Linked DNA regions of Drosophila melanogaster. The gene in region 1 interacts genetically with each later gene. Each region holds a gene or a part of one and is shown on either strand. Other genes may lie near its edges. The genes, in order: mbl and SERCA.

Region 1 (4,946 bases):
CTTCATCCACGCTTACCACTCCTTCAGTTCGCGATTGTAATTCATGTAATTCATTATGCATAATTTGCAGACCAAAAAACCTTTCACTTGCCCCCGAGCTCCATTAGCGATCTTTGTTTCTCTTTCGGGTCACTGACAAAAACTCCAATTTGAAATCGTTTAAAAATAGTGAACTCACACAAACACCGATGGACTTCTAATAATAAAAATCAAATCCTGGTGGGGGCGGGGTATATCCACCGTATAGTGGAGCTAAAATCATTGCGGGGGCGTTCCTCGATCTGGATCTGCATCTGGTTCGGGTCGGGTCGCTCTCTCTCTCTCTCTCTATCCCCTTTCATATGGATTTGGCTTTCACATGCCAGTTCTCGTTGGACTTCGTTTTTTTCGTTCTTGAAATCGCTTACATTCACTTTTTATTACAATTAACCTACACGGAGTGGTGCATGGTGTGCGTTAGTGGTATTCCCCCCTTTCCACGCCTACACCACATATTTTAATTGCCATGTGGGGGGTGTTAGGACCATATCTTTTGTTGCCAAAAAATCCAAAGAACGAAACAAATTTATGACATAGAAATGTCAAGAGTTGTGGCTGTGTGTGTGCGTTACATATTTCTATTTCTGGCCCGCTGGGCTGCATTCGGATATATAGCTATACCGTTATGGATGGGATGCATTTACGTAAATGATTTAGAACATATCGAACACATTTTGAAGGTGACTTTGACAGAGCGAACAAAGTTCCAATTCACTAAGTTCACTTATTTCTGTCCTTAGGCCCAAATGGAAACTGCAAGCAAACATTAATTATCATTGCGGTGTGTGAACAATTAGAGCAATGGTATTTTTCAAAAATGTACCTGGCCATTGCATGAATAAGTAGAACAAATGGTTTTTTGTTAAAAATAATTTAATAATTATATTCTTTAAGGTGCAGGTTTATACATATTCAAGATTTACAAAAAACCTTTTTTAATGGGGTCTTAGCAAAAATAATGAAAATTTCCAAAAATAAAAGATAATTGTTTTGTATATGTACGTACTTAAGCTGACGACTTAAAATGAACAGAAAATCATCAAAGCAAATTTATGACACTAAGCATAATTATAATATAATAATTATAATATACATAAGCCCTAAATAATTATAACGTGCCCAATCACTTGTGTCAAAATTGTAAAGATTTTTAGAAATTAAAATTCCTAAAATGTCTATTTATATGTCCATATTTATTATCTATTATTATCTATAGTTTTACACATTTAAATTTTTTTATCACCTAAAAAAAAAAGATTTATCGAAGGCTTGAGAGAGCCACAAAAAATACATTATCTAGTTTCTACCGTTAATTTAGTCACCGATTTGCAAAAATTAGTTGCCAGGCTATTTTATAGTCCGCAACCTACGCCAAAAGCTTAAGTCTGTCTACTTTTGGCCAGTTAACCTTTTAGTTGATTGTCAACTCGACTCGCCTTCATTGAACTCGGCAACCCCTAAAAACCCCCCTCGGTAATCAACAAAACCAAAAACACTCGAACTCTCTTCATTGGATAAAAGTACTCTTTAAGAGCACACAAGAGAGCTCGTCGGACTGTGGGACAAACAAACACTTTTTCGTACTGAATGGAGGGTTGACAGTTTGATTGCAACAGTTGACACCTATAAAATTTAAGCTGACGAAAAGAGTTAGTCAAGCATTTATACACTAATATACAAAATAATATATAAATTGGAATATCTTTTCCACTTCTTATATGCTACAACGTTTTGAAGTTACTAAAATGCCACAGTATGTGGTTTTTTGCCCCACAGTGCAAGCGTAAGCGAAAGAGAATGACAGGCAGAGAGTGAAAGAGAGCGAGAGAGTTTCGAGTCGAATTGGAATGGAATGACCAGAAAAATATTGCTGCTTTCAGTTTCGAAAAATTTTTCGATGGAAGCGGTTCTGTCAGCGGAAAAGTGAATTATACCAGAGCCTGCCTGAAAAACTCAAGAAAACCCCATCAAAGAAATAGCAGCTCTCAGCTAAATAATAACAAACACAATACTTTCTGCTCAGTCACCGCAAACAGAAATAATCACAATTCTGCAAAACGCCGTCATCAAAAAAGTTTTAGCCTACAACTCTAGAAACGCGGAAAAATTTGTCAAAAATACAACTAAAAAAACAACAACGCGAGTGCACGTGTATGTGAGGTGCTCAGTAAGAGTGTTTGCGTGTGTTCGTTTCTGTGTGTGACAGATAATAAAAGGAGAAAAAAAGAAGTTGTCGAAAGTCGTTCGTGAAAATTCAAGAAAAATAGTGCAAGCGCTGCAGGGAAATTGTCCGGAAAAATCGCAAAATCCATTGTTTTTAGCCGGCATCTTAAAAACCAACGATAACAACAGCTTCTGCAACAACGCGCGTGTTTAGTTCACACACACACCACGGAGCGTCGAGAAAAAAAGGTTAAAAATACATTTTCAATTCACCATCGGCGTAAAAGTAAAACAATAAACAAATACAAGAAAATAAAACAGCAGCCGCTTTTTCACCCAACAACAACAATTTCAACAACTTCAACTTCGCCAGCAGCAACAACAACAAGTCAGCTGGACAACCGAAGGTGTTTATACTTAAAAACAAAAAAAAAAGAGATCGTTGTGTTTTTTTCCTTTTGTTTTCTCTCTTTTTTCGCCTTCGTCTTAAGTTTATGTTTTTTTTCTATCCATCGGTTTGTCTCTTCCCTTTCTTGCCACATTTCGTGGTCTTGTTTGTTATTGCTGTCGAATTTTCGGTGATGCCAAGTGAAAAGTCGGAAATTCTGTTTCATGACAGGGAAAACTTAATATTGTAAGGAAAGTTGTTCTCAAGACTGGAGAAGAAGAAATAATGGGAGAAAATTAACATAAGTAAACGTAAAGGAAACTAATGTTTTTCAAAGTTAATAAGGTGTATGTAGTTTTAAAGTGTAGTATCCATCCAATAAAACTTCGGTATTTAAAGTTTAAAAAAAAAAGTTAATTTCAACATACATAAAGTCTCATTGGTAGTGTTTTATAATTACAGTGTTGCAAAAGAAGTCACTTACTTAGAGTCTATTTAGTGCTGAATAAGGTGCAGAAACATTGACGTATTCAATATTACAGAGATGCATATGCATATATATCGGAGGCTAATTTATATTGTTTGATTTAAATAATTTAACAACAAAATTCTATTTACCAAATTTGTTCAGGCCAAAAAATATAAAAAAGTACGGAGCAATATACACAAATATACATTTATTATTGAAAACAAACTACTTTACACGGCCAAAAATATAAATTCTGCATTAATAAGTGTATTATAATCATTAAAAAAAACTTGCTTAATCTGTTAAAATAATGCACATCTCGTTCACTTGGCTTGGTAAAGCTTAATGACCGAAAATCAAATTGAAATTGAGCCTAATGAACTGTGAAATAATAATTAAAATTCAACAAATTGCAAACCAAATTTGTCAGAGTGAAAATGGGAATGGTTATTCCACATTATTGGGCATTAAATACGTTAAATATATCCACATTATTTGCGAAAGCGCCCTAACAGCTTAACATGAATATATATCATCTGTGGAGTTAATTAACTTAAAAGCACGGTAAAAACTACAAATATTCGCGTTGTAATATAATGCAAATTTAGCCATTTTTATTCTAAAGCCGGACAAGGCCTAGACTATTAAACAAACAAAATGGAGAAAAAAAAAATACATCTAAGTCGAGCGATTTTTACTGTGCGTTTCAACACTGTTAGCCAGTTGTAAAGAAACACACGTGACAATAAAACAAAACGCCTGCAAACAGGCAATTACGGAATTAATGGCTAAATCAAATTGTTTTGAAAGCTTACGATATTTAATGGGCTTAGACACCCGAACAGAAAACAGACATGATTCTTAAATTTAATGTGATTATTTTGTTAAACGAAACTGATTCAATTACCGCATTTGTTCTGACACTGCAAATCGATTTCATTTTAGGGTCTTAGAGACGAATTAATGGGAAATACGATCCCGAAACGCACTGTACTCGCACATGCAAATACATAGATTTTATTTTAACGAAAAGTCACGTTTTTTATGTGGTTCTCCACCTAAAAACCCACACCCCTCGCTCTTGCCAAGTCGTAACCATTAAATTTATGTTTATTTCGGTCCTAGCTTCGGTTTCAGTTGCAAAAAGATTGTTATTATAATTTTTCCGATTTGTTTCGTTTTCCTCCAGTTCAGATATGCAAATTGAATTAGCTCTGCCCGCTGGCAACTGGAAAACAAAAAGCAAAAGTTTGACACATTTCGTTTTTATTTTTACTCTTCATTTTTACCCATCATCATCAACAAAAGTGTCAAAAATGTGTTGCTGCAGAAATATGAGTCAAAGAAATCGTTTGGAAAATGCCAAAAATGAATTATTATTTCTGTCCATTTGTTCAATACACTCTGACAAGTCATTCACTTTTTCTCCTCCGAACGTACTCAAAAAATCAAACTCGAACCATAACTACAAAACGCCACGAATGCCACAAGACGGTTTTATATTTTGTTGGTGAAGGGGATTGGTATGAAAACTTGAGGACTTTTGGCATGACTAATCGATTCGATTTTTCGCCAAAAACTCATGCCGCAGTACAAAAAGACGAGGCAAGAAAAAACGTCGCTGTGAGAAATATGTGTTTGACTTGTAGTAAGAGGGTTTTGTGCTTTAAGCTCTTCTCAATAGGTCGTAAATATCGATAGGAACACCCCCTTTCGGTTGTCGAAAGTGTGGAAATAGCGTTGTATATGTCCGTGTTTGTTTGCTCGGCTCGCGATTTCAGTTTTGATGCGAGATGACAGCACTCGAAAAGGTGTCAGAGTTCAGACGAAAGGTATAAAAAGGTCTAGCCTTAAATCGCTAGAAAGCTCAAAACAATACAATTTGCT
Region 2 (8,066 bases), 6.7 Mb from region 1:
CTTTGACTACGTACGGATACGCAACCATTTCAAGACCGAAATGGTCAGTTTTGTGCAGATAAATGAGTACACCAAGAAAGAAAAGATTTCCCGGGCGAGAGATATATTCTTCCACAGCGGGGCATCTGTTCTGTTGTACTCGGAAAGAGCGCACTTCTTCCGGCGCACGCGGATTAAGGGCATCCGGAACTTGATCATGTACCAGCCGCCCAACTTTCCGCACTTCTATTCCGAGATCATCAATCTGATGCTGAAGACAAATCAAAATCCGCGCGATGGATTTGGGGACGAAATGTCCGTCAGTATCCTGTACACAAAGTACGATCTGCTAAGCTTGAGTAACATTGTGGGCAGTGAGAATGCTGCGAAATTGACTTCTGGTCAAAAGGATTCCTACCTTTTCTCCACCAAAACGTAAATGCTTACACGAGAGCTGACTTTGAAATATGTACATATTTAGTTGTCAATTAGAATATACTAAATGTTAACGCAAGTAAATAGTAATGTATGTGATAACTTTCAGTTGTGGCTCTATTTTTGGACCTAAATACTTTCGTGACGTAGAGATTTTAGGAGGAACTGGCTAGGTGATTGATCTGATGTTAAGGGTGGCGATGTCTTCTCTTTGTTATTACGCAATTTGAAATTATGAAAAAATGAATAATTGGCAAATGGTTGTGTAATAAGAGGCAGCATAAGTAGTGTTTTGCCGATTGATGAAATGATTCAAAATGCATTTGAATTCAATATATTTTGCCTGTTTTTACTTTAATATCCCTTTTTTATAAAGGAAGATTGGCCAGAGCATTATGCAATAAAAGTTATCATTTATAAGGCAATTAAGTGTTAAAAAACATTATTTTGCAGTTTGTATTTGTTTTTAAATGATCACTTCGCTTGATTGCTTGAGATTGCTGGAATCTGGAACCATTACCATATACCGAGTTCCTAAATAGACAATATCCAGCGGTTGACAACCGCATCAAACCCAGATTTGCCAGTCCCAAAATAAATCAAAATTCCTGGCTGCATTGTCATTTATCAACATTTTTAAATATACACATAGGTAGCTTATAAAAGTTCTGGCCTAGACATATAGAGGTAAAATAGTAGCCAAATGCATATTTATGGGGGTCTCTGTGAAAAGTCGTAATAGCTGCTGCACAAGGCGGATGGCTGATGGCGGATATCATACGGCAGAAACGTGTGCGGAGAGCGCTCTTGCCAATATCTGAGAGTCCGAGTCCGTAGGGGCATTACAAGCCTATAAATAAAAATAGTCGACGGCTGCCAGTCTCTGCTGAAATTGGGGAAAAAGGCAGAAAAGCCAAACGAAGAACTAGGGGTTCGCAGGCCGACTGGTGGATGCTCTTTCAGCTGTTAATGGATCGAGATCAACTAGATTGAGGAAATGAGTATTTGGGCTGGGATTTGGGATCTGTTGTATTTGCCAAGGACAAGTAAAATATTCAAAGGGCAGCAGCTATGGATAACTATGATGGATTCTAGCTCGGCGAAAGTGGAATGCGTCAGTGCCAGTGCCATCATTCCCAACCATCCCCCCACCAAAGGACCCAAGTCTTGACCCACTTGAAGTGGCTGACACCGAAGGTAGAAACACCTTTGAGTGACAAACCCTTCCACACAACCCAGCATAATTTCCCCAGATTGGTTTAAAAATACCACTTTCTAAATATTAGACAAACACACGTGCATTTCTCGGAATACGTCTGCACTCACACTCCCAGGCACATCCACATCCACAACCACATCCACGTCCACAAGTGATCTCGCATCGCCACATTGCCATTGCTCTAGACTTTCGTGGCCGTGCGCTCCCGCGGATCCGAGATCGGGCGGCCATATGTACGTATGTATGTATGTGGATGGGGAGCTCGTGTGCCCGTGGTATTGTGGTATTCCCACCTATACCTAGCCACATATACGAATCTCTGGGGGACCACGGTGAATCTGCCTCGTCGAGGTACGAACGAGCTGCACGAGCAGATCTGAACCGCCACCATTCGAATTCGGATCGCATTGGATTGGATTGGATAGGTGGTAAGTGCTCAAAAGTTTGTGCGTGCTAAAAGTATTTTCCCGGGCCAAAATAGAGAGTGTATGTAGTTTTGGGAATTTTGCCAAAATATATGAATTTTGTAATTCAAATAGACACTCTCATCGCGCAGCGTTCTCCTTGCGTTCAGTTGCCGTTGATCGTTATAATAGCGCGATCTTTGTGTCTTGGTCTTCCGACTGAAATAAATTATTATATAATAACGGAATTTTTGCTAGGAATAATAATTGTAAGTTTTGTTGATTTTCTGCAACAACTGCAAAGCGAATACGCCAGTGAATTACTCCAAACTGCCAAAACCATTGGGTAAAGCAAATAAACCCCCCTAAAAACTATCGAAAATTCGTCCGCGCGCTTTCAAAAGAAAAGAAAACCTGGAAACCAAAAGTTATTGAAATGCCTACATATCTACATACGAACATGCTTCTTACACTCGAAAACCGTGCTTCAAACTCAAAGTGTTTGCCCCCAGTTTACTTTGCCACCCTGGAGCTCGTCCAGAGCTCGTAGTTCGATCTATCTACATACATGAAATATCCGTAAGGGCGACGATTCGGCGGTGACCTCGACCTCCGGATGGTATCGAAAATTTGAATGTCACCAATACGAGAGCACTCCACGAATAGATTCGATCCGACACAGATGTAAAGTTTTCCAAGTGCCCGAGATCTATGTATCTGTGATTGAAAATCTGGTTATGCAACCACAACCGCAACCGTGGCGAATATATTCGTACCCAAATTCGAAAGATCCATGTCTTGTACTGTACCTGTAGCCCTTGTAACAAGCATAGAACACACGATCTCTTGAACTCCTTAACTACCCGCATTCATAGCTTAATGGTGGTTACATCGGTTAGTGAATTTGACTGCCTTTCAGTTGCAAAAGATCCCTGAAACCAACAGACAGTTTTACAGAAACGTGTAGCTCTATAAGTACATTCAGCCCAGGATCATGGCCCAATCATTTGTACTTATTTTTGAACCCACCCACCCACTATTATACAACCCATCGGTGGACTTGTCAATCAGAAATTCGGATTCGGGGACGTGGGAAGCAGCATATCGCACAAGTGTCGACATCCATTAGCATGGAGATATCTCTGCTCGCAATATCATAAGCCGTTAAATCGTACATATAACCGCGCAGAATAGGAATCTTTCTCCCTACGATCGTCTCTCTGTATATGTACTCAAACTTATTTATGTGGTCCTAGTACATATCTTTATATCTACGAGTGTTCAGAATTGAGCTGTATTTTTCGGGTGCTAGGACTCTATTTTTAGCCCATCTCGGACAGAGGCGATTTTTTGCTCCATAATGCACACACACATGTGTATTTTAGGGGTATATATAGGCTATATGCATGAAGATGTTTTCGAAACACACGTCTCTGTGCTCAAAATATAAGTAGTATTCGAGCGCATTGATTGACAGTTTTTTGAAAACTAACGCCTTTTGTGGGCGGGCAACTGGTGGAAACCTCGTTATCAGAAGTTACGTATGTAATTCTGTGACGTAGCCAGCGTAATATTCAAGTATTATGCGAGTTGGCTGCCGTTCAAAATTCCCCGTATGGCCTGATTCTAGTGTCTGGTCGCGAAAAAGATTAAAATTAAAATTTAAAAATGTCGCTGCTGGCGAATACCTGGCACCCAGATCTATTTATTGCGGGCTCTTGATCTCGATCTCATTAATTTGAGCACAAAATGCGCGAAAAGAATAGTGTTGCTTGTTGTGTGGCCAAAATAGTGCGGATGTCTCTGTCGCTTGCCAAGTGAAAATATGACAATGTATAAATAAGTTTAAGCATTCGTGATAAGGATTTCAGTTCGATTTACACCACAGAAGGGAGTAAAAACATTTGGTTTTCGATCGCAATAACAACTTGATTTATAAGGTTAGAGGTATTTTCCAATAAAGAAACTTTCCAGCACAGCTGAATTCCTTCGAAACTTTGATTAGTTTTAAATTCCTATATCACCTCAGCTATCGGTATTACTGAACACGGAAACTCAACAGTTAGCCATCGCAGTTGAGATTCTCAGTTATCGATAACGCCGGCTATCGCAGTTTAGTAGCACAAATTGAACGCGTCAGTAGAAGCTGAGCTAAAAGGTGGGATAATTATCTAATAATTGCCAGGACTGAGAATTCTTAAAAGTTGGAGAAAGAGGCAGCTCTGCACAAATAACGTAACTCGGACGATATACGTTTTCAGTCAGCCCTGTCTTGTGCGAATAATGTCGTGTCATAGTGAGGCAGAACGGCGATAGGCAGTAAATCGCGGCTTGGTACTTAGTGCAATAGTTATCAGCACACATATTCAGAAAAAAGCGCCATGGGTTATATTATATAGAGAGTCAGTGGAAAAAAGTACTTAACACACGCAGTGCGTCGTTTAGCGAGGTTAACGTAGGAGCAGAGCACCCGTATTACGGACCAGATCCCCCAATCCCCCGCAGAAACTGAGAATAGAAAAACGAAAACTGCGTCTGTTGTGCGAAGTGACACGTGTGTGAATCTCATAAGCGGAGCGATTTGGCCAGGGTAACAGCCCATCATAGTAATGCAATATTCCAGCATATTCTCCGACCCGATCCGCACAATCCGATCCTAAGTTGGCGCGATAACTGCGCGACTTTAGTGGCCAGTCCGGGCCCGATCAGAAGTGCCTGAAATCGGGGAATTAGCATGTAGCACCTGTGTATGTGCGTATGTTGGAAAGTACCCGTGAGCCGAGTGCCGTGCACATGCACATGTACGACCACTTATTCAGAACCTAATGAGGTAGTTTTAACTGCAAACGTACATGCCAGTACAGATGTATGTGCATACATACGTGCATACACACTTGCTATTCCAGTCAGTCGTTGAATAGAGCCCAGAAAACGGCAAAATAGCTAAATAGCCCTGCCAGAGAATTAAAATGAGCCCCTTGCCTTGTGTCTACTTTCAAATCCCCACCTGAATCGCCCCGGAATCTGGACACAGGCCACTGAACGAAGAGGATAACGAATCAAGATGGAAGACGGTCACTCGAAAACCGTCGAACAGTCCCTCAACTTCTTCGGAACGGACCCCGAGCGCGGCTTAACCCTCGACCAGATCAAGGCTAACCAGAAGAAATACGGACCCAATGGTGAGAGTCGCGCGTAATTCCCCTCCACATTCCGAGACCGAATCGACTGACGTGTTTGTTTTCTTATCGTTACAGAGTTGCCGACTGAGGAAGGTGCGAACACAACCCGAGCAGATCCCCTGCCCCCCACCCCCACTTCACTGTATGCATACATTATAATAACGATTGTATTCCACAGGAAAGAGCATCTGGCAGCTGGTCTTGGAGCAGTTCGACGATCTGCTGGTGAAGATTCTGCTGTTGGCAGCCATCATCTCATTTGTAAGTGCAGCAGCACAAAGAAACCCACCCTCAAAAACTTAGTTACGACCACACTCTTCCCCTCTGCAATCCCCAGGTTCTCGCCCTGTTTGAGGAACACGAGGAAACGTTCACTGCATTTGTAGAGCCCCTAGTTATTTTACTTATCCTGATAGCCAACGCCGTGGTGGGAGTATGGCAGGAGCGTAACGCCGAGTCGGCCATTGAGGCCCTCAAGGAGTACGAGCCTGAGATGGGCAAGGTGGTGCGCCAGGACAAGTCCGGCATCCAGAAGGTGCGCGCGAAAGAGATCGTGCCCGGTGACCTGGTTGAGGTGTCTGTCGGTGACAAGATCCCTGCCGATATCCGTATCACCCACATCTACTCGACCACCCTTAGGATCGATCAGTCCATCCTCACCGGTGAGTCGGTCTCCGTCATCAAGCACACCGATGCCATCCCCGATCCCCGCGCCGTCAACCAGGACAAGAAGAACATCCTGTTCTCCGGCACCAACGTCGCAGCCGGCAAGGCCCGTGGCGTCGTCATCGGCACTGGCCTGAGCACCGCCATCGGCAAGATCCGTACTGAGATGTCCGAGACCGAGGAGATCAAGACCCCCCTGCAGCAGAAACTGGACGAGTTCGGTGAGCAGCTGTCCAAGGTCATTTCCGTCATTTGCGTTGCCGTGTGGGCCATCAACATCGGCCACTTCAACGACCCCGCTCACGGAGGCTCCTGGATCAAGGGTGCCATCTACTACTTCAAGATCGCCGTCGCTCTGGCTGTGGCTGCCATCCCCGAGGGTCTGCCCGCCGTCATCACCACCTGTCTGGCTCTGGGCACCCGCCGCATGGCCAAGAAGAATGCCATCGTCCGCTCCCTGCCCTCCGTGGAGACCCTGGGCTGCACATCTGTCATCTGCTCTGATAAGACCGGCACACTCACCACCAACCAAATGTCCGTTTCCCGCATGTTCATCTTCGACAAGGTTGAAGGCAACGACAGCAGCTTCCTCGAATTCGAGATGACCGGCTCCACCTACGAGCCCATCGGCGAGGTCTTCCTCAACGGTCAGCGCATCAAGGCTGCTGACTACGATACCCTGCAGGAACTGTCCACCATCTGCATCATGTGCAACGACTCCGCCATTGATTACAATGAGTTCAAGCAGGCCTTCGAGAAGGTCGGCGAAGCCACTGAGACCGCCCTGATTGTGCTGGCTGAGAAACTGAACAGCTTCAGCGTGAACAAGTCTGGCCTGGACCGCCGCTCGGCTGCCATCGCCTGCCGCGGTGAGATCGAAACCAAGTGGAAGAAGGAATTCACCCTGGAGTTCTCTCGCGATCGTAAATCCATGTCCTCGTACTGCACCCCCCTGAAGGCTTCCCGCCTGGGCACTGGCCCCAAGTTGTTCGTGAAGGGCGCCCCCGAGGGTGTTCTAGAGCGTTGCACACACGCCCGCGTTGGCACCACCAAGGTTCCTCTGACCTCGGCCCTGAAGGCCAAGATCCTCGCCCTGACCGGCCAGTACGGTACTGGACGCGACACCCTTCGCTGCCTGGCTCTGGCCGTTGCCGATAGCCCCATGAAGCCCGACGAGATGGATCTGGGCGACTCCACCAAGTTCTACCAGTATGAGGTTAACCTGACCTTCGTCGGTGTTGTGGGCATGTTGGATCCCCCCCGTAAGGAAGTTTTCGATTCCATTGTCCGCTGCCGTGCCGCCGGTATTCGTGTTATTGTGATCACCGGCGACAACAAGGCCACTGCCGAGGCTATCTGCCGCAGAATCGGTGTATTCGCCGAGGATGAGGACACCACTGGCAAGTCCTACTCGGGTCGTGAATTCGACGACCTTTCCCCCACCGAACAAAAGGCTGCCGTCGCCCGCTCCCGCCTCTTCTCCCGCGTGGAGCCCCAGCACAAGTCCAAGATTGTTGAGTTCCTGCAGAGCATGAACGAAATCTCCGCTATGACTGGTGATGGTGTGAACGACGCCCCCGCCCTGAAGAAGGCTGAGATCGGTATTGCCATGGGCTCTGGTACCGCCGTCGCCAAGTCTGCCGCCGAAATGGTGCTGGCTGACGACAACTTCTCCTCCATCGTGTCTGCCGTTGAAGAAGGTCGCGCTATCTACAACAACATGAAACAGTTCATCCGCTACCTCATCTCTTCGAACATTGGTGAGGTCGTCTCCATCTTCCTTACTGCTGCCCTTGGCCTGCCCGAGGCTCTGATTCCCGTCCAGCTGCTCTGGGTTAACTTGGTACGTCTTGATGGGGTATTTACTACTTAAAATGGTTAGTAATAGGTACTTGGTCACAGGTTACTGATGGTCTCCCAGCCACCGCTCTGGGCTTCAACCCCCCTGATCTGGATATCATGGAGAAGCCCCCCAGGAAGGCCGATGAGGGTCTCATTTCCGGATGGTTGTTCTTCCGGTGGGTTACTCAAAAAGCACACATCCTTTAATCGGTATTAACTTGGCCTCAATCGAACTTTTAGTTACATGGCTATTGGATTCTATGTCGGCGCTGCCACCGTCGGTGCCGCCGCCTGGTGGTTCGTGTTCTCTGATGAGGGACCCAAACTGTCCTACTGGCA

The links.
Region 2: of mbl (region 1) and SERCA, changing one suppresses a phenotype caused by changing the other (phenotypic suppression), as found in Drosophila melanogaster (one study listed by BioGRID).

The regions. Positions count from the first base shown.
Region 1 is NT_033778.4:17,263,603-17,268,548, forward strand, and holds the start of mbl (muscleblind), read left to right. Parts: upstream 1-1,915; 5' UTR 1,916-2,609; intron 2,610-4,946. UniProt on the Drosophila melanogaster protein: Required for terminal differentiation of photoreceptor cells. Vital for embryonic development.
Region 2 is NT_033778.4:23,929,820-23,937,885, reverse strand, and holds the start of SERCA (Sarco/endoplasmic reticulum Ca(2+)-ATPase), read left to right. Parts: upstream 1-2,001; 5' UTR 2,002-2,061; intron 2,062-2,205; exon of another isoform or gene 2,206-2,306; intron 2,307-3,801; exon of another isoform or gene 3,802-3,977; intron 3,978-4,145; exon of another isoform or gene 4,146-4,195; intron 4,196-4,441; exon of another isoform or gene 4,442-5,071; 5' UTR 5,072-5,101; coding exon 5,102-5,219; intron 5,220-5,294; coding exon 5,295-5,312; intron 5,313-5,397; coding exon 5,398-5,480; intron 5,481-5,556; coding exon 5,557-7,728; intron 7,729-7,787; coding exon 7,788-7,903; intron 7,904-7,967; coding exon 7,968-8,066. Other genes in the region: CG3735 (uncharacterized protein), read left to right, coding at 1-418. UniProt on the Drosophila melanogaster protein: This magnesium-dependent enzyme catalyzes the hydrolysis of ATP coupled with the transport of calcium.